Drosophila melanogaster: one gene and its partners. The protein of the gene in region 3 purifies or fractionates together with the protein of the main gene of each other region. This does not show direct contact. Each region holds a gene or a part of one and is shown on either strand. Other genes may lie near its edges.

Region 1 (5,603 bases), on a different chromosome or scaffold from region 3:
ACTCGTGCCCATGTGCTTACATCCGTAAAATTAATCGGGCACTGAACGACATTCAGAATAAGTCGAAGAACATTTATTCTGAAGATGGTGCCTATTGTATACTTGACTATTCGCTGAGGTCATTGACTCTTATTATTGTAAAAATTGCTTTAATGCACTAGATTAATTCTCACTAGGTTTGTGCGTGTCCATCGTCATACAATTGCAAATTTATATACGTACATGGCAATAACCATATGCATATTTACTTGCATAGCACTGTAGGTGCAATCGACGACTGCAGGGCAGCGAGGGCAGCGCTGATAATCCAGCGGACGGTTAAAAATAGTCCAACAATGGGACAGAATGCAATCAGTGGAATACCCCTCCCTCCTTCGGCATATTACTTCAGTTTGTGGAGGAGCCGTTGCCAAACATCCGTCCGCTGTGCGATTTTCTGGAATACTTTGGACGGATGATGTCCTTGAAAGTGAATGCGGATGCGAGTGGAGGCTTTTCCGAATTGCTCGTGGAGTCCGGACCCTGTCCTTGTGAGGAAGACAGCGTCGCATAAGCTGCATTCCTGCTGGTTGGAAGTCCATCGAGATATTTTAGCTGGGGAAGCACCTGTAGTATATACTCGCGGGGTCCTTGGCCCCCGAAAACTGTGCGGATGCCAGGATTCCCCATGCAAGAGAGCTGATCCAGCGCAGGACAGTGCCGTTCGATGCGGTGTATCCAATCGGTTATATTTGCTATATCGCAATTGTTGATCCTGCAAGACGAATAGAATATGTGTTATTGCGTGGACCCATGTATGCAAGATTCAGGGTAATCACCACAAGATCCTTAAGCTCGGCAAATAAGGAAAAGTGTTTATGTCCAGGTTTACGTTGCGGTCCAGGATTAAAGTGTCCAGATCCTCGAAAAAGGAGAGAAATCTCAAGTTTCGGAAATCATTGTGACTCAAATCGAGAAACTTGGTCTGCGCTGCGAATTTGTCGGCCAGTCGCCGCGGAATTGTCTTCAGGTTCTCATAGGCCAGCGAAATGCGTCCGTTGTCCTCTAGGATGCTTTCCGAAAATGATACATCTTCACTTGGACAACTGCTGATGGAAATGTTGCCACTAAAGGAATACGGATTCGGCGTAATCATCTTCCCCACGTTGTCTTCGGTCAGCAAAACGTCGTTATATTCGTAGTTCAAGCTCTCCAGCGACTGAATGTTGGCACAATTCCTGAGGACCTCCGTTAGGCAGGGATTCAACGGGCTGGAAGCGGGATATTTTGGTCATTACATGGATTTTTGAATGCCTATCTACTACCTGTCTTCGGAGTTGGAGCGTTCAGAGGTCGATGTTCCAGACATAACGGCGTAGATCTACATAACTGGCAGCAGCTCCTATTCTTGGTGTTTTCCAATCGGGATCGGGACTCCGTCGGATGGTATTTATTTTGGTCCAACGTCTGTGGTAGACTGAGGGAAAAATGACACTTGACTCTCGCTCCGCGCAGATTATCTGGATCTTCCGCTCCCCAAGCAAACACATACCCATATCTGTGAGTGTATTGAAACAATTGTCATCTCGGTGGTCACAATCACCCAACGCACTCAAAGTACACTCGAAAAAAGCTCTGTTGGAAATGTAAACATGTAGTGAATCTTTTCTGCCACAATTCCTCCTTATTTTGAGATAAGTTTATAAATAAACGTTTTTTTTTCTCTGTAAAATTACTCGTTCAGATTAGTAAGTGTAAATGCACAAGTCGAGAACAACAAAGTAAGGTATGAGGAAGAAATCTCTATTGTTTTTCCTTTGTTGATGCTGATACTCTTCCACGGAATTATCTACGGAGATGGTGTGTTAGTTTTGCTGAACGCTTGGTATACTATTTAGTTATTGGTTTACCGAACTACTTATCCAGTTAGGAGTACGTTTGGTAAGAGGGTTTAAGGTGTTCTTTCTTATCTCTTTTATCAAACTCAGGAACTTTGTATTACCTTACGTGGCTGGGAACAATTGGACCATGTTAATGCGCTGCAAATAATTAATAAGAGCTCCTTGTAATATAAATCACATTTATTTACTTGTTTGTTCATATAGAGCTAAGTTGATCGATTGTGTCGTATGCCGAGTGCACTCAGAAACGGAAGGGAAACGTGAAAATATGTTGATTATGTGACTATACATATATACTAACATAAGTAAGCCATATGACTTCCTTAATTATCCAATAGGAATCTAAATTTATAATGTTTTCCGGTTGATCTTTTGAATTGGACTTTAAGATATTTGAATGGCAGAACGCAAAGGGTACTCTGCAAAAATGTTATTACTTGTACCCATCTTGTACCCATATCTGGCATACCACAAGGGAAACACCTAGGTTCGCTCCTTTTTACCGTATTCATTAATGACCTAGTTATTATAGTTATATCACCTTCTCGTTTACTTATGTATGCAGATGAGAGGAAAGGATATATATACATCATTGGATCGGAAACGCTTTCTTTTACAAACTAGTCAACAAATCCTGCATACTGTGTAACTGTAGAGTAGAGTCTTACGATATTCAAAAAGTAGGTTGGCAGCGCCACGCCACTGTTATTTGGTATAATCTAACGGCCCATTATGCTGCCACACTTTTATTTTGCCAGGAAAGGAAATCGGCAGTTAAAGATTACAATTGGAAAATTAAGTTAAATTAATGAGATATTTAAGTGCGCCTAAGTGAATATGTCGCTAGATTATGAGAAGATGAGCTGGTCGGGTGAGTTTTTGGCTTTTCCCGGCTTCAAACAGGTGCAGACCACGTCAGTGGGTTGCTCCCAATCGCCCGGTTTCCGTGGACCCAAAAAACGGGGCCATGAATGAAAAGTGCGGTATCATAATCGTATGATCATCCTTCCAGATGTACGCGATCAGTTCAGAACATGGCGCGAGGAGACGGGTCGCCACAGCGAGGAGGTGGTCCAGCTGTGGGTTGCTGTGCTGGAGGACAAGGTGCACAAGACCGGCAACGAGCGGCATCTCATCCTGGAGCAGGTGATCATCGCGGCATTGGATACGGCTCGCTTTGACATCGCCACCAAGTGTACCAAGCAGCTGGCCCTCGAGTTCCCGGGCAGCCTGCGCGTGATGAAGTTCAAAGCGATGCGCTACGAGGCCCTGGAGCAGTACGATGAGGCCGACGAGGTCCTGGATGCAATCATTGCTAAGGACGAGACAAATGCCGCGCCCAGGAAGCGCAAGATTGCCATCCTTAAGGCCCGTGGTCGTCGCCTGGAGGCCATCAAGGAGCTCAACGAGTATCTGAAGAAGTAAGAAAGCTAAGTTCATGGTGTTTTTGGAAGAACGGAACCAAATTAGTTTCCGGCATCCGGTTGCTAGACAACTACTTATCTTACCATGTACGATAATCTCATAACTATTTAATATTCCTTCAGGTTTATGTCTGACCAGGAGGCATGGCATGAGCTGTGCAACATGTATCTGGCTGAAGGCGAGTTTGGCAAAGCTGCCTTCTGCATGGAGGAGGTTTTGCTGCACAATCCGCATAGCCATCTAATACACCAGCGTTTGGCAGAAATACGATACACAATGGTGAGCTATATAAGCCCACTAACCAGTAATGAAGTCCATCTTATGAATTAATTTTCTTTCAGGGTGGCGTCGAGAATATGGAATCGGCTCGCACTTACTATTCGCAGGCCCTGAAGCTTAATCCGCATAACTTGAGGGCCCTTTATGGCATTTACTTGTGCTGCAACCATTTGGACAACTCTCGAGCCGTGAGCTCCAAACGGAAGGAGCTGCAAAAGTTGAGTCAGTGGGCCCTCGAACAACTTTTGACTAAACAAACGATTGTACCCTTGGAGGCTGCTTTTGGAAACCTGGAAATCAAATCGAATTGACCAACATAAGCACTACAAATTTGTGCAATAGATGCCAGAATGTAATGGTTCCAAATATTTTCAGATGTGGGTTTCCAGTTTCTGTTCTTTAAGCAAGTTACATAGATAAACAATTAAAGAAATAGGAGTAAAAACAATTTTATAGTCAGTGCATCCAAGCAACTGTTTTTGGTGGTCTAGTATTGTTGACGGCATTGAAAAACATTTATTATTGAGGTAGGCAAAAATAGTCCTGTAATAAATTTAGATTAAACGCAATGAACTGGTTACTTTGAATCATAATTTTAATCTTTGGCCTCAAGTTTTAAGCAATATTAACTCGTGCCCATGTGCTTACATCCGTAAAATTAATCGGGCACTGAACGACATTCAGAATAAGTCGAAGAACATTTATTCTGAAGATGGTGCCTATTGTATACTTGACTATTCGCTGAGGTCATTGACTCTTATTATTGTAAAAATTGCTTTAATGCACTAGATTAATTCTCACTAGGTTTGTGCGTGTCCATCGTCATACAATTGCAAATTTATATACGTACATGGCAATAACCATATGCATATTTACTTGCATAGCACTGTAGGTGCAATCGACGACTGCAGGGCAGCGAGGGCAGCGCTGATAATCCAGCGGACGGTTAAAAATAGTCCAACAATGGGACAGAATGCAATCAGTGGAATACCCCTCCCTCCTTCGGCATATTACTTCAGTTTGTGGAGGAGCCGTTGCCAAACATCCGTCCGCTGTGCGATTTTCTGGAATACTTTGGACGGATGATGTCCTTGAAAGTGAATGCGGATGCGAGTGGAGGCTTTTCCGAATTGCTCGTGGAGTCCGGACCCTGTCCTTGTGAGGAAGACAGCGTCGCATAAGCTGCATTCCTGCTGGTTGGAAGTCCATCGAGATATTTTAGCTGGGGAAGCACCTGTAGTATATACTCGCGGGGTCCTTGGCCCCCGAAAACTGTGCGGATGCCAGGATTCCCCATGCAAGAGAGCTGATCCAGCGCAGGACAGTGCCGTTCGATGCGGTGTATCCAATCGGTTATATTTGCTATATCGCAATTGTTGATCCTGCAAGACGAATAGAATATGTGTTATTGCGTGGACCCATGTATGCAAGATTCAGGGTAATCACCACAAGATCCTTAAGCTCGGCAAATAAGGAAAAGTGTTTATGTCCAGGTTTACGTTGCGGTCCAGGATTAAAGTGTCCAGATCCTCGAAAAAGGAGAGAAATCTCAAGTTTCGGAAATCATTGTGACTCAAATCGAGAAACTTGGTCTGCGCTGCGAATTTGTCGGCCAGTCGCCGCGGAATTGTCTTCAGGTTCTCATAGGCCAGCGAAATGCGTCCGTTGTCCTCTAGGATGCTTTCCGAAAATGATACATCTTCACTTGGACAACTGCTGATGGAAATGTTGCCACTAAAGGAATACGGATTCGGCGTAATCATCTTCCCCACGTTGTCTTCGGTCAGCAAAACGTCGTTATATTCGTAGTTCAAGCTCTCCAGCGACTGAATGTTGGCACAATTCCTGAGGACCTCCGTTAGGCAGGGATTCAACGGGCTGGAAGCGGGGTATTTTGGTCATTACATGGATTTTTGAATGCCTATCTACTACCTGTCTTCGGAGTTGGAGCGTTCAGAGGTCGATGTTCCAGACATAACGGCGTAGATCTACATAACTGGCAGCAGCTCCTATTCTTGG
Region 2 (8,416 bases), on a different chromosome or scaffold from region 3:
TGAATGGAAGCAATTTCCGTTGACTTTTGCACCTGCTGCGCTTTCAGTTCACGAATCTGGCGCGTCAGTTGATTGATCTTCTGCTGGACCTGTTGCTGCGTGTACTGCGGCTGCGGTTCGTCTATGAATTCCATGTTCTCGAACTCCTCGCGCTTGGCTAGCATTTGGCTATCGTAGAAGCCACTGGGAGCAGCAAGGTTGGAGCTTGATCCGGCGGCGCTGAGCTTAGGACTGCTGGCTTCATGCCCAAACATAGACTTGCTGAACACGTTCTGCTCCATTTTCACTACGCCCGCTCCAGTATTACTGCCACTAGCGCCAAAGAAGTCCGACATTCGTGAATCATCAGCCGAGAGTCGTGAGGATTCCTCCATCACCCGCCGCTGCATGGTGTTATTGCCCCGATCGGGCTCATCCTCGTCATCCGTGCTGGACACTTCCTCGCCGAAGATGTCGTGGACAGCAACTCCCATGTTCGGCGCCCGGTGTGAGGGAAAGTTGCTGGCTTCGTCATCATCGGACTCCACTTGGAGGTGCCGCTGGGAGCTCATTTCCATGATCGTCTTTTCGCTGGCATGCATGGTGCTTTCGTCCTGCAAATCGTCATCCGCATCGTTGTAGGGTTTGATGTCCGATTGCTCCAGTTCATCCATTGGCTTGTCCTCTTCGTTTATGATTTCATAGTCAACTCTGACAGCCTCGTTGTCAATGCGCAGCAGATGTTTCACTTCCTTCTCAATCTCGGGAGCTTCGACATTCTTTTTCTTCAGAGTTTTGCGGAATCGTCGTTTTCTCACATTCTTGCACGGCGGTGTGATGCCGTGCGGAAAGAGGTATTTTTTGTCCACCTTGTTGGGGTCCTTCTTTTTGTTCTTGTTGGGCGACTCCTTTTCCGTCTCGTCCTCCCGCTCCTCCTTGCAAATGAGTATTTGGCAGATGTCTGCCGACTTGTAGAAGCTCTTGTTGTCAATGGTCTTGTAGCTCTCGACGACGGTGGGCAAATCCACGAGTTTCGTGTACAGTATCTGATCATCTATTCGCACTTCACCGTACCTCAGATCCGGATCCAGTTGGATGGTCAGCCGGTCCTTAATGGTGCCAGCATTTATTGCCTCATGGACCGTGTCCGCCAGTTCCTGCGGAGAATCCGTCAATTTGCACGGCTTGTTGTGATGTTTGTTTGTGCTATGTATGGCTTACCTTCGGCACGCGCATGATAAACTGGCTCTCCAGCTCTACGCCATCATCCCGGGCCTTGTGCTCCGCTTGCTTAACCTTGTCGCTCTTCTTTTCAAACATTTCAATGCGATTTTTCCAGAAAAATACAACTTCTTTTGAAGACACTAAATGCTCATTAGAGATGGGAGTTAGATGGGGCACCGCTAGTGATGGCATTCACGTCACAGTTATCGCTGCGAGCACGACGAATATTTAAAATGGTTCACACTGCAGCCGCATCTGCAGAAATATAAGCCCTGTATACCGCAAAATGGCAAGGCATTTTATTTTTTAATCTTTTTACCAACAAATTTAATCATAAAGGTGAAGACCGAATGGGTTTGCCGTACGTTGAAAGGGGATGAGCCGCACTGCTTTGAATATCGGATGTGAGTCCGCTGAACTATCGATAAGGCAATCGTCAGCCAACCCTGCTCCAATTTCGTCTTCTCATCCCTTTTGCCATGACGGAAAACACGAATTGATGTGGATTTCTACTAATTTATAACATAAAAATACGTCAAAAGTTGAACAATCAGAGATCGAGCTAGTCGAAGGTCAGCAAGCAAGGCGGACGACATGCAGGAGAAGTGGTTACTGCCCGCACTTTCGCTGGCGCTCCTATTGGGCACCTGCTCGGCGCTCTACGAAGACCAGATCAAAAAGTTCGACTGGTGAGTGTGGTACGATATCTGACCATTGACCCGGCGCTAATACGGCGGATATGTGCGGCTTTTGCAGGCGAGGCGTCAATGTGGGAGCACTGAAGCAGTCTCGCGTCGACCTCAACCATTTTCAGCCGCGGATTCTGGTCACCACCTATGAGGGAGTGGTGGCCAGTCTGTGCGTAAAGACCGGCGAATTGGTGTGGCGGCAGGTGCTCGAGCAGAAGCCGCGCGGCGACGTCAAGCTGCTCCAGGTGAGCGGATTCGCCGATGACAGCAGCGACACGGCCGCCGCTCCGATGGGCAGCAACATGGGCTTCGACATGCTCACCGTTCAGGGACACGCTCCTGCTTTGGTGCGCGGCTGGAACACCAATATGGGTGCCCTTGAGTGGGAGTGGTCCATCATGCCCATGAACACGGAGCGGGCCCAGGACGCCATGTGGATCTACAGCAAATCCGTGCTATATCACGTGCTGCCTGCCTGGCGGAGCCACCTCGAGGTGACGGCGTATTTCGCCAGCTCGGGCCACAGCACTGGCAGCACCAGCAAGGTAATAGCTCCTTGGATCACCTCAGAGAGCTGCACCCTTAGCGGCACCTTCTACGTTTGTACGGACGGAAAGCAGTTGATTAGTTTGGATCTCGTTTCCAAAAGCGGTCAAGTAATCCGTACTTCGCTCGAGGCGGAGCCGAAGGGAAAAACTCAGGCCTTGACGGTGAGGAAAAAACTTTGCTATTGCTTTTATTGAAAGTGAAGTAATAGATTGTTGTAAGTGAAGTTATAATTCGTCCAAACATTTCTATAGGGTCTGAATGGTGTTGTGATTGTGGATGGGAAGCCAATTAGTGTCAACAAGGACCAATCGATCTGCGGTGATCTGCGAAGCTCCAGCTTCGCCGTGGGCAGCTTTAACTATCGCAAAGTCTTGGCCTATGCAGATCTGTCCTCTGGAGTACGTTTAAACTTATATTTACTGTTCTATTCTACTATTTCTATGTGAAAACTAATTGTTTCTTTCCCTGTGCGTATGAACAGATCCTCAGGATCAATGCTCTGTATTTGGATAACTGTGCACCGGCAGCGGAGTTGGAGCAGAGTCTGCCATTCCCCGAGCATTTTGGCACTCCGTCGCTGAGCAACTTCGACTGTAAGCAGAAGCGCAATGGCGAGGGCAAGAACTGTCTGTTTTTGTTTAGCAGCACCTCGGAGTCCATCGTGGCAGTGCAGCATGGACGCGTTCGTTGGTCGCGCGAGGAGTCGCTGGCAAATGTGATCGACTCGCAGTTTGTGGATCTACCGCTTGCCGATACTGAGGGCACATTGGAGAACGAGATGAAGGGCAAGGCCGGTGAGTGTACTTGACTTATGCACTACTTTAAGGTGAACTCATAAAATTTATTATTGAAAATTCATACCAAAAGGGGATTTCACAAGTTTTGAGAGTAAGTGAACGTTCACAGCAAACTAATCATGCAATATTGTTTGTTACATGTTTATCACTTTTAATTTTGTGTTTTTTTTTTTAATGTTTATTGAACGTACCACTAATCTAAAAACGAATGTTTACTAACAAATTCAAGCATGCTTCGCTAGTTTAAAGCTAAGTGTATTACTTTTACTTTTTTACTGTCCAATAATTAATTTCCAATGTAAACTAAAATATGAAATATCTTTGGTATATCGTTAATGTTTAAAGATCATATTAAATTGTTCTTTACTAATATTTATGTTTTCACCACGTAAACAGGAGACATTGCCAGTGCCTTTTTGCGTCGCATCACCACTCAAGCTGTTCAGATTCGGAGCTTGTTCCTTCATGTTATCGGACTGGGTCCTCCACCTACAGACACCCAGCGAGCCGGCTTGGTCAGAGACTCCTTTGGCCTCCACAAGATGCTGGTTTTACTGACGCGTGCTGGAAAGATTTTTGGCATTGACAATGTCTCTGGGAAACATCACTGGCAGCTGCATCTTCCCAATGTTATTGGATTCGCTAACGACGAACAGATGCGTCTGATTGTCCAGCGCTCGGCCAAACACTTTCCACTTCAGCCGTTGTGCACTATTTTGGGCAAGAATGCTGTAGGTCTGACTGACAAATCGCATAGTTCCCACGCTAATTCTAATCGTTTATAGGTCAGCGGCAATGGTGTGCTCTATCGTTTTAATCCTATTACCGGCAAAGTAGCCGAAGGTGGCCTTGTTCAGCTGGACTACAGAATTAAGCAGCTTTCGTTGCTGGGAGAAACGGAAAAGGACTTTCTGAAGGGCATTCTGTTACTGGATGCTTCGAATAAGGTACATGTTTATCCCGAACATGCGGCCCCACTGGTAAGATATAAAATTCTATGATATATCAATAGAGTTGAAAATCTTTACATGCACGTACAGGCTGATGGCATGTATCTGTACACCGCCGATTTGAAAACTGCAGAGCTGGCCGGCTACTTTGTTAAATATGCGGGCGGGGTAAGTAATGCAGCCTTTTAATATGAAAGCACTTAACTTATTAAACCATTTCCGTTAGCAACTGTCCAGCACGCACATCTGGAATGCTCGCCTGGGCGGCCACAATTCCGAGCAGCAGATTATCGGCGTTGCCGGCAAGAATCCCATCGAGCATGTCCACTCCCAGGGACGTGTGCTGGGCGATCGATCGGTGCTGTACAAGTACATCAACCCTAATCTAGTGGCTTTCGTCACACAGGCACCGGATTCCACACACAAATGTGAGTCTGCATGCGCTTCGTGTAATTAAGCATTCATTTAAATGGCACTTACTCCATAGCCGTGCTAAATTTGTATCTGGTTGATGTGGTCTCCGGCTCTGTGGTTTTCACCATGACGCATCGTAAGGTCCGTGCACCACTGAGCATTGTCCACTCCGAAAACTGGCTTGCCTACTCCTACTTCAACGAGAAATTGCGTCGCACAGAGATTAGTAAGTTACAACAGCGATAGCCATTGACAAGTACCTATATTTACTAAACTTTATTTACTTGCTACAGCCACAATCGAACTGTACGAGGGCAAGAGTCAGGCAAACAGCAGTGTTTGGAGTTCCTTGCAAGCTCCGCCAATGCCCCTCGTGGAGCGCCAGTCTTATATACTGCCCACAATAGTTGAGGCTCTGCGGGAAACTATCACGGAGCGCGGAATCACCAACAAGCATGTGCTTAGTGAGCATTAACGAAAGTAATTTGAACGCCAAATAGGATGCTAACCATTTGTCATTAATTCTAGTCGGCACTGCCAGTGGTTCCATTGTGGAAATGCCGTGGCATTTGCTGGATCCCCGACGTCCTATCGCATCCACGACTCAGGGACGTGAAGAAGGAGCCATCCCCTACATACCCGAGCTGCCTTTGCCAACAGAGAGCCACATAAATTACAACCAGACGGTTGCCCGTCTGCGTAATATTTACACCGCGCCCAGTGGCTTGGAGAGTACCTGTCTAGTCGTTGCTACGGGCTTAGGTAAGGGAGATTTATCAAACGCGATTTTGGTTAAAGCACTGTAAACCATTTTTATTTGACAGATTTGTTCGTTACGCGCGTGGCGCCATCAAAGACGTTCGACTTGCTGAAGGAGGACTTTGATTATATTCTCATTTCCATAGTGCTAGTCGCGCTCACATCAGGCTCGTTGATTGTTAAGCATTTAGCGTCGCGTAAATTGCTCAAGCAGGCGTGGAAATAGGCTTGGCATTATTATTAAATAATTGCTTTAAATATATATAAATTGTACTGCGACCAAATACCACAAGGGAGGATGGAATGATGATGAGAGAATGTAAATCGGCGAGATACTATTGATATATATAACAGAATTCTGATAGCTGCATTACATCCCACAATGCGAATAAAACCTTTTATCAACGCTAAGCCTAGGCAATTATTTATAACTAATTATATAGCGTTAAACATCAAATAACTATAATTAGCTGTTGAAAGGTTTTCATTGCATGTTCTGTTCCTTTGATTTGTGTTCGTTTAAATTTCCATTTGAAAATATCAGCATTGAAAGAGTGTTTAAAAAGTATAGTCAATAAAAGCATTTGTAAAGGTGGACAACGGTAAAGTAAATAAACAATTTTTTCATCAGAATTAACTGATTGTTGGGATTAATTAGGAGGTGGATTCAAAAAATTTTTGATAATTAAAACAAAAAATATAAATAATAAAAATACAATTAAATCAAAAATTCATAGCGTCTATTACCTGATTTATTTAGGACAATTTTTTTTAGAATTTCCTGTAAAGTATAAAAGGAATTATTATTATAATACTTATCTCAAAAATGAAGTAATTTTCACCGTCTTATAACATTGTAAGAAAGTTGTGGTTTTATAGCTTAATAAATTAAAAATACAAATAAAAAAATTTTTAAATGGGCGCCAAAAATCAGCTGAAAGCTTGTGTGTTTTCCAACACCGACCATCCAACTTTAACCGACTGAAACATATGTTTATTCTCTTCTTCTTCCGCAAAATTGAAAGGATGGCACTGCGTGTTTTTGGCTTAAATATAGTAAAAAATAACAGGAATCTGCTGCAAAATGCATGCAAATCCAGGGCACCGATGCCATGCTACATGGTTGGTACAATAGTCAAGTCAATAGACTTGACACTTTTCACTGTTCCCAATTGTGAGACCAAACGTTTGCATAACCTTTCAGGCAGCGGCTCCATTTGCCACCGATGTGACCGTCCAGGCTGCTCCGGCGGCTGTCCAGAAGCAAAGGGTGAGCAAGGCCATGCGGGCGTACCTGAAAAGAGCCACCGAACACGACGAGTTCATGAAGACCCAGCACCTGGAGTTCCAGATCGGAAAGCGGCACCTGGCCAACATGATGGGCGCCGATGCGGAGACGTTTACCCAGGAGGACATAGACGTGAGATATTTGGCTATGAAAATTTTAAGGGGCTATTTTACCTCATTATCAATTACAGGAGGCGATATCCTATCTGTTCCCTTCCGGATTGTACGACCAAAAGGCCCGGCCGGCTATGAAGTCACCCGAGGTTGTCTTCCCCGCCCGCAAGGCTGCGGAATTCGATGAGACGGGCAGACCATTCCACAGCATGTTCTACACCGGCAAACCCAACTTCTTCCAACTGCTTCATGTGAGTAATTGCGCAACTTGGGAACTTCATTACTTAAGAAAGAAGAATGATGAATTAATTTTAAGTGGTTTGGTAGAAAGGTATTAACTACTTTTCCTTTTTAATTACCAGGACATTGTAGAAGAAACTAACAAGCTGGCGGATCTGGAGGAGCGCATGCTACGGCGCGGCAATAAACCCGATGAGAACCAAAAACTGTAAACAAGCTATGCATTTTTTGAAAATTAAGTACTTTGACCTTGTTTTATATATTTTATTTTAGTGAGATTGCCGGCTTTCAGCTGCTGCCCAAGGACCAGTTGGAACTTTTGCTAGTTGAGAGCATTGCCGATATCGAATACTCCAACTTTACCAACTCCATGGATCGCCTGATCGCATCGCCATATGCTTACAAGAGCAAAGCATTCATCGAGCGATACATGAAACCGCTGATGGACCAGTCCAAGCAGCTGGAGGTGCCCAAACCAAGGATCGATGAAGAGGGTCGCCAGTACATCACCACCTACGAGTGCCTGCGCAAAACTGCTAGAGCCGATGTCACAGTGCGGCTACCCGGAACAGGAAAAATCAGCATTAATGGAAAGGATATCTCATACTTTGAGGACGAAAACTGCAGAGAACAGGTGAGTGAAGTCATGTACAGCTTAAGCTTCTGCTGAGGATAGGTTCCTTGTTGAAATATGAATTCACAACTGCAGTTAAGAGCAATTGAAAATCCTATTGAATTAATATTACGAAAAGTTTATTCTTGAGACTTTATTCAATTGAAATGATATATTATAAAATTTATATCAGTTTATATCAGTTACCTTGACATCGCTCAATTTGGCCGACAGCTGCAAATAAGAACGTCTCTTTTCATAACAATAGATATATAGCATATACTTTATTAAGAGTAATAATTTGCATTAAATTACTATATAAACGATTCTCTGACGACAACGCCAAAACAACAAAGACACAGCCTGGAACCAGCCACAAATCAATCCTGCCAACTGCTCGCCTCTAGTTCAACTAAACGCTAGTTATAGTATTTGTATCAATAGTGTAGTGTATGTAGGATATATGGCTATATAGCGTATGCATATTGCGCCTGGCGCATCGATATCAAAATTGGTTTAACTACAACTCGCTGCTACGATAATATCAACAATGTTCTGGATTCTTTGGGGCCTACACGACCCCCTTACGTCTAAAAAAGGTCAAACTGTGATCTATAAATATTCCGAATGGGGTGCAGTAAATGCTCCTGCTACTTGCGCAGATTCTGTTTCTGCTGATTGGAGATCACAATCAGCAGCTTGTCGATCACCTTGCTGGCTTGCTGTTGCTGCGAGATGAGCGCCTGCTTTAGCTCCTGGATCTCCTGGGTGAGGAACTCGATCCGATCAGCATTGTCATCG
Region 3 (5,071 bases):
CAGTGACGCCCTCCGCCTGGAGCTTCTATTTAAACGCATTAAAGGCAGCAAAGGCAGGGCGGCTCAACGCAGTTGGCAACCCTGGCGCCTGCGGGTGTATGCGTGAGTGTGCGGTGGTGGGCTGCCTCGCTTCCCTCAGCGCTAAATTAAAAGCTGCTACGTGTAGTTTTCGATTTCGGCTGCTTCCAAGCCAACTATCGTCAGCTGGCATCAGCATCTTCTCAGTAACGTGGAGCACCTATCTTTGCGCACTACCGGTCCGGAGAAGAAGTCTCTGGGGTGTTAGTTCCCTGTAACAAACTTAGGTTTTTGGATATCCGATTGCTGTCAAACGAAAGGTTTCCGTATGTTTCGCTGGCAACCTTTTTTCTTTTTGTGTTCGTGCGAAACGGGCTTGCTCATTGCGTTCCTCCATTTTAACATGAATTGCTTAGCCATCGGTTGCAGCCTGCTCGGTTGCAGGGCTCAAAAGGCGGCAGCGGTGACTCACTGTAGAGTTTGGGAGCTTCCCCTCCGCCCAGCAAGTTCGCCGAAAACTGCAAGTTACCTGGCCTTATCATTCACGCACTTCTCAGCCCGCACGTTTCTTGCGTACTCTGTGTAAAGTGGGTGGAGGACGTTGGAAGGGAGGCGCTGAGCGCCGACAGCCGTCATGGTTCTATACTAAAAATCGATATCTTATCAGCAGCCGCTAGCGGGGCAAACACTAAAAGCAAGCGACTCGTGTTTCATACATCCTCCATTTCGCGTTGTATTTAAGTGTGGAATTAATTACATAAACAAATTTTCTGTTTTTCTCATGCTGACGCATTGAAGACGTCCTTATTACAATAAACAAAAACGAATTTCGTTTCTTTTTCCGGTTTTTCCGCTCTTCCGGTTTTTGTATGACTCAGAGTGGGTAAGCGCCATTCAACACGTAAGCGCGATCATAAGTGAAACAAACACCAGAGGAGCTTCGGCGCATCCGTCCTTTGTGATAGCTCTTCCTACCACGAAAAATTCTCGCCTACAACTGTCTATTTTTGGACTCTTCACAGATTCTCCCACTCCATGCACACAAGTGTGCAGTTTGCATATTCTGATCGGTATAGCAACTCGGATTTGAACTTGTCATAATTCCAGCCAGCAGACAGCGAGCAGGCCAACCAGAGATCCAACTTCCTACGACTACCGAGCATCCGAAAGACAAACAGCAGCCATGGGAAACGTATTCGCGAACTTATTCAAAGGCCTATTCGGCAAAAAGGAAATGAGGATATTGATGGTCGGTTTGGATGCCGCTGGTAAAACCACAATTCTGTACAAACTCAAATTAGGCGAAATTGTTACAACGATACCTACCATTGGTAAGTATCTTATTAGCACCTTTAATGTATCTTGTCCAAATCTAATATCTAATGGTTGTCCCCCTAGGTTTCAATGTGGAGACTGTAGAATACAAGAATATTAGCTTTACAGTGTGGGATGTGGGTGGCCAAGACAAAATTCGTCCCCTGTGGAGGCACTACTTCCAGAATACACAAGTAAGTGTGATTTCAGCTTTTCCACAGATTCCAGAAAATTCTATATGATGTTAACAGCTTGTAATGATTATGCATTGTGATTATTCAAGTTTATTTTGTTTCAAGACGGGACTGACTATATTATCTTAGAGATCTATCTCCTACGATTCAAGCCAGGACAATTGGAATAAAGTTTTCATTTGAATCGTTACAGGGTCTTATCTTCGTCGTGGACAGCAATGACCGAGAGCGTATCGGTGAGGCGAGAGAGGAGTTGATGCGCATGCTGGCAGAGGACGAGCTGAGGGATGCAGTCTTACTAATCTTCGCAAACAAACAGGTAGGTCCAAGCAAAGGTTGTCGTTATCAGTAGCCAGTTGCTCGGTCCTTATATTGTCATACTAATATTGCACCTCGCTCTTTTCTGGGATCATTTTAGGATCTGCCAAATGCAATGAACGCGGCCGAAATCACCGACAAGCTCGGCTTGCACTCACTCAGAAACCGCAACTGGTACATCCAGGCGACGTGTGCAACTAGCGGTGATGGGCTGTACGAGGGACTCGACTGGCTGTCCAACCAATTGAAGAACGCTAATCGCTAATTAAACACTAAAATTAAAGCAACAATATGAATACAACTAACTCTGATTTCAAGCGAGCCGAAGCAGTTAACCAGCAACCAGAACCATAGAAAGAGCGGCTGAAGGACATCCAACATCCAGCGGTAAACGGTGGAAATCGACATCAGAAGGAATTTTCACAAAACAGCAGCAGCGGCACCAACACCAACAACAAGAGCAGCAGATCTTCGCATAACTTAAAGGGCTCCGCATGTCCGTATTTCCAAACAAGAAACTGAAATTGTTTATTGAATTGCAAAAACATAACCTTTCAAGCAGCATATAAAGAACGCTATAATATAATTTAAATTCGTATACATAATTATTGGATGTTTAAAAGCAAATCGAGTAAAAGAAAAGCCCAACCAATCACACAAGAAAGGAAACTATAGTATATGGTATAAAAATGTCTTTTTTAAGTTATTTTTGTCCTCTCCCTACCCCTCATCAAAATATATATTTCTTTTTAATTTTATAATATTAAAGTAATATTAATGAGAAAAAACTGTAATTGTAATTGCTCTTTAAAAATACAACAAATACCATTTTAATTTTTAACCCTTCTGTTTCTTGTTGTCGCTTGGTCACGCAAAATCCATTAAAAATCACGCATATATATAAGACCATATTAAAAAGGAAAGTACTACTTAAAAGGTAATTTGAAATAAAATTTAAATATTAATGAAAACTACTGCGCTGTTCGATTTTTGCACATGCGTTTCAAAAAGTCCGCGCAAAATCGTAACTGCCTATCGATACCCTGGTGCCATACACATCAGTTGCCTATCGAATTGTCTACACTACAATAATTTCGGAATTTAACGTTGAACAACACTCAGCGACCAATTGTCAGAAAAAATCGTCATTTTGTTTTATAAATTGGCAAAAGATTAAATAAAAGAAAGCACAGCATGTCCGCCAAGCAAAACCCAAAAAAGTTAAAGTGGGCGCTGGACTTTAACGGGAGGTAAGGATTGCTAGCCTGCGCGGTGACTCAAGTTCTTACCACTTTTGCTTTTTCCTGCAGCAAAAATGCTGATATTCCTTCGCCGCTGGGCTACAATCCATCTGCTTTGGTGAACCAGAGTGAAGTGGTGCGCGACCAGCGCCTGGTCATCAAGAAGTCGTGGGACCTTGCCCTGGGACCTCTTAAGAACGTGAGTAGCAGCCCTTTGGAAAGACCCGTGCTTAACCTTTGGATTCCCTCAGATTCCCATGAATCTATTCATCATGTACATGTCAGGAAACTCGATTTCCATTTTTCCCATCATGATGGTCGGCATGATGCTGATCCGGCCTATCAAGGCCATCTTCACCACCCAGGTGACTTCCAAAATGGCGGAGGGGGCCCAGGGAACTGGCCAGCGCATCGTCTACTTCCTGGGCAACCTAGCAAACGTGGCTTTGGCCCTCTACAAGTGCCAGAGCATGGGGCTCCTCCCCACCCACGCCTCCGATTGGTTGGCATTTGTCCAGCCTCAGACACGCCTGGAATATTACGGCGGAGGAATTTCGTTTGTCTAGTTTTACACATATAGATTCTCTTTATTTGATCATAGATAAATTGGTTTAAACTAAAATTGTGGTCTTATTCCGCCAGTCAGTCGTCTAGTATCTTCTTGGCCTCCTTTTTGATGTCATCCACTAGTTTCTCGCCGGGCGATCTGTTAAAGAAAATAGTAAAATAATTAAGATACAGAATGATAATATGATCTTATTTAGCATTGATTTCGTCATGGTTGCACCTGGCAACAAATTTTTATTCGGAAAAGCCATCATTCACCACAGTAGAAAGATATCATCACGACTTCGCACGCATTTTTTCAGCACTTTGTCCTATTTTCAGAATTTGTAAAACAAGCGCGTGGAAAGCTTAATATAAGATATCGAAAAAAAATCCAGGTTTAGTTGACAAGTTCGACTTATAAAATTTTTACAATTTTAATTACAAAGGCATTTGACAGAGTGTGGCTCGATGGACTTTTGTTTAAAATAATCAAGCTGTTGCCCCAAAACACACATAAGCTACTGAAGTCATACCTATATAACAGAGTGTTTGCAATAAGATGCGATACAAGCACTTCACGCGATTGCGCAATCGAAGCTGGAGTGCCGCAAGGCAGTGTACTGGGTCCAATCTTATACACCCTGTATACGGCGGATTTCCCCATAGACTACAATCTAACAACCTCCACGTTCGCTGATGATACCGCGATACTCAGTCGCTCGAAATGCCCAATAAAAGCCACGGCACTCCTATCCCGACACTTAACATCTGTAGAACGATGGCTTGCCGACTGGAGAATTTCAATAAATGTTCAAAAATGCAAGCAGGTTACCTTTACCTTAAACAAACAAACATGCCCACCACTGGTCTTGAATAACATATGCATTCCACAAGCCGACGAGGTAACATATCTGGGAGTTCATCTGGACAGGCGGCTCACTTGGCGCAAACATATAGAAGCCAAATCGAAACATCTTAAACTTAAAGCAAGGAACCTCCACTGGCTCATAAATGCTCGCTCTCCACTTAGTCTGGAGTTCAAAGCTCTTCTATACAACTCCGTCTTAAAACCTATCTGGACTTATGGCTCCGAGCTGTGGGGCAACGCATCCAGAAGTAACATAGACATTATTCAGCGAGCACAGTCAAGAATTCTGAGAATTATCACTGGAGCGCCGTGGTACCTTCGAAACGAAAACATACACAGAGACCTAAAAATCAAATTAGTAATCGAAGTAATAGCTGAGAAAAAAACGAAGTATAACGAAAAGCTGACCACCCATACAAATCCCCTCGCAAGAAAACTAATCCGAGTATGCAGTCAAAGCCGGCTGCACCGCAACGACCTCCCAGCCCAGCAATAAACTTATTAGGGCATTAATGAAAAAAAAAAAAACTATCACTAAGTGAAAGTTAATTAAGTTAGATTAAGATTTG

What was found.
Region 1: the proteins of EMC4 (region 3) and EMC2B purify together in Drosophila melanogaster (affinity purification with mass spectrometry, with the first as the bait; one large-scale study listed by BioGRID). This does not show direct contact.
Region 2: the proteins of EMC4 (region 3) and EMC1 purify together in Drosophila melanogaster (affinity purification with mass spectrometry, with the first as the bait; one large-scale study listed by BioGRID). This does not show direct contact.

What each region holds. Positions count from the first base shown.
Region 1 is NT_033777.3:16,988,882-16,994,484, reverse strand, and holds EMC2B (ER membrane protein complex subunit 2B), read left to right. Parts: upstream 1-2,606; 5' UTR 2,607-2,717; coding exon 2,718-2,751; intron 2,752-2,892; coding exon 2,893-3,301; intron 3,302-3,427; coding exon 3,428-3,584; intron 3,585-3,646; coding exon 3,647-3,895; 3' UTR 3,896-4,151; downstream 4,152-5,603. Other genes in the region: CG31274 (uncharacterized protein), read right to left, coding at 388-754, 819-1,250, 1,305-1,348; MESK4 (misexpression suppressor of KSR 4), read right to left, coding at 4,600-4,966, 5,031-5,462, 5,517-5,560.
Region 2 is NT_033777.3:7,900,604-7,909,019, reverse strand, and holds EMC1 (ER membrane protein complex subunit 1), read left to right. Parts: upstream 1-1,656; 5' UTR 1,657-1,797; coding exon 1,798-1,892; intron 1,893-1,959; coding exon 1,960-2,602; intron 2,603-2,692; coding exon 2,693-2,839; intron 2,840-2,922; coding exon 2,923-3,235; intron 3,236-3,308; coding exon 3,309-3,329; intron 3,330-3,634; coding exon 3,635-3,969; intron 3,970-4,023; coding exon 4,024-4,218; intron 4,219-4,278; coding exon 4,279-4,356; intron 4,357-4,414; coding exon 4,415-4,616; intron 4,617-4,675; coding exon 4,676-4,828; intron 4,829-4,895; coding exon 4,896-5,066; intron 5,067-5,130; coding exon 5,131-5,364; intron 5,365-5,426; coding exon 5,427-5,587; 3' UTR 5,588-5,990; downstream 5,991-8,416. Other genes in the region: Taf7 (TBP-associated factor 7), read right to left, coding at 1-1,136, 1,201-1,395; wtrw (water witch), read right to left, coding at 8,266-8,416; mRpS9 (mitochondrial ribosomal protein S9), read left to right, coding at 6,388-6,483, 6,566-6,781, 6,840-7,013, 7,125-7,210, 7,276-7,636.
Region 3 is NT_037436.4:22,866,120-22,871,190, reverse strand, and holds EMC4 (ER membrane protein complex subunit 4), read left to right. Parts: upstream 1-2,947; 5' UTR 2,948-3,038; coding exon 3,039-3,094; intron 3,095-3,154; coding exon 3,155-3,284; intron 3,285-3,336; coding exon 3,337-3,651; 3' UTR 3,652-3,727; coding exon of another isoform or gene 3,728-3,791; 3' UTR 3,792-4,016; downstream 4,017-5,071. Other genes in the region: Arf1 (ADP ribosylation factor 1), read left to right, coding at 1,202-1,349, 1,417-1,526, 1,720-1,845, 1,945-2,109.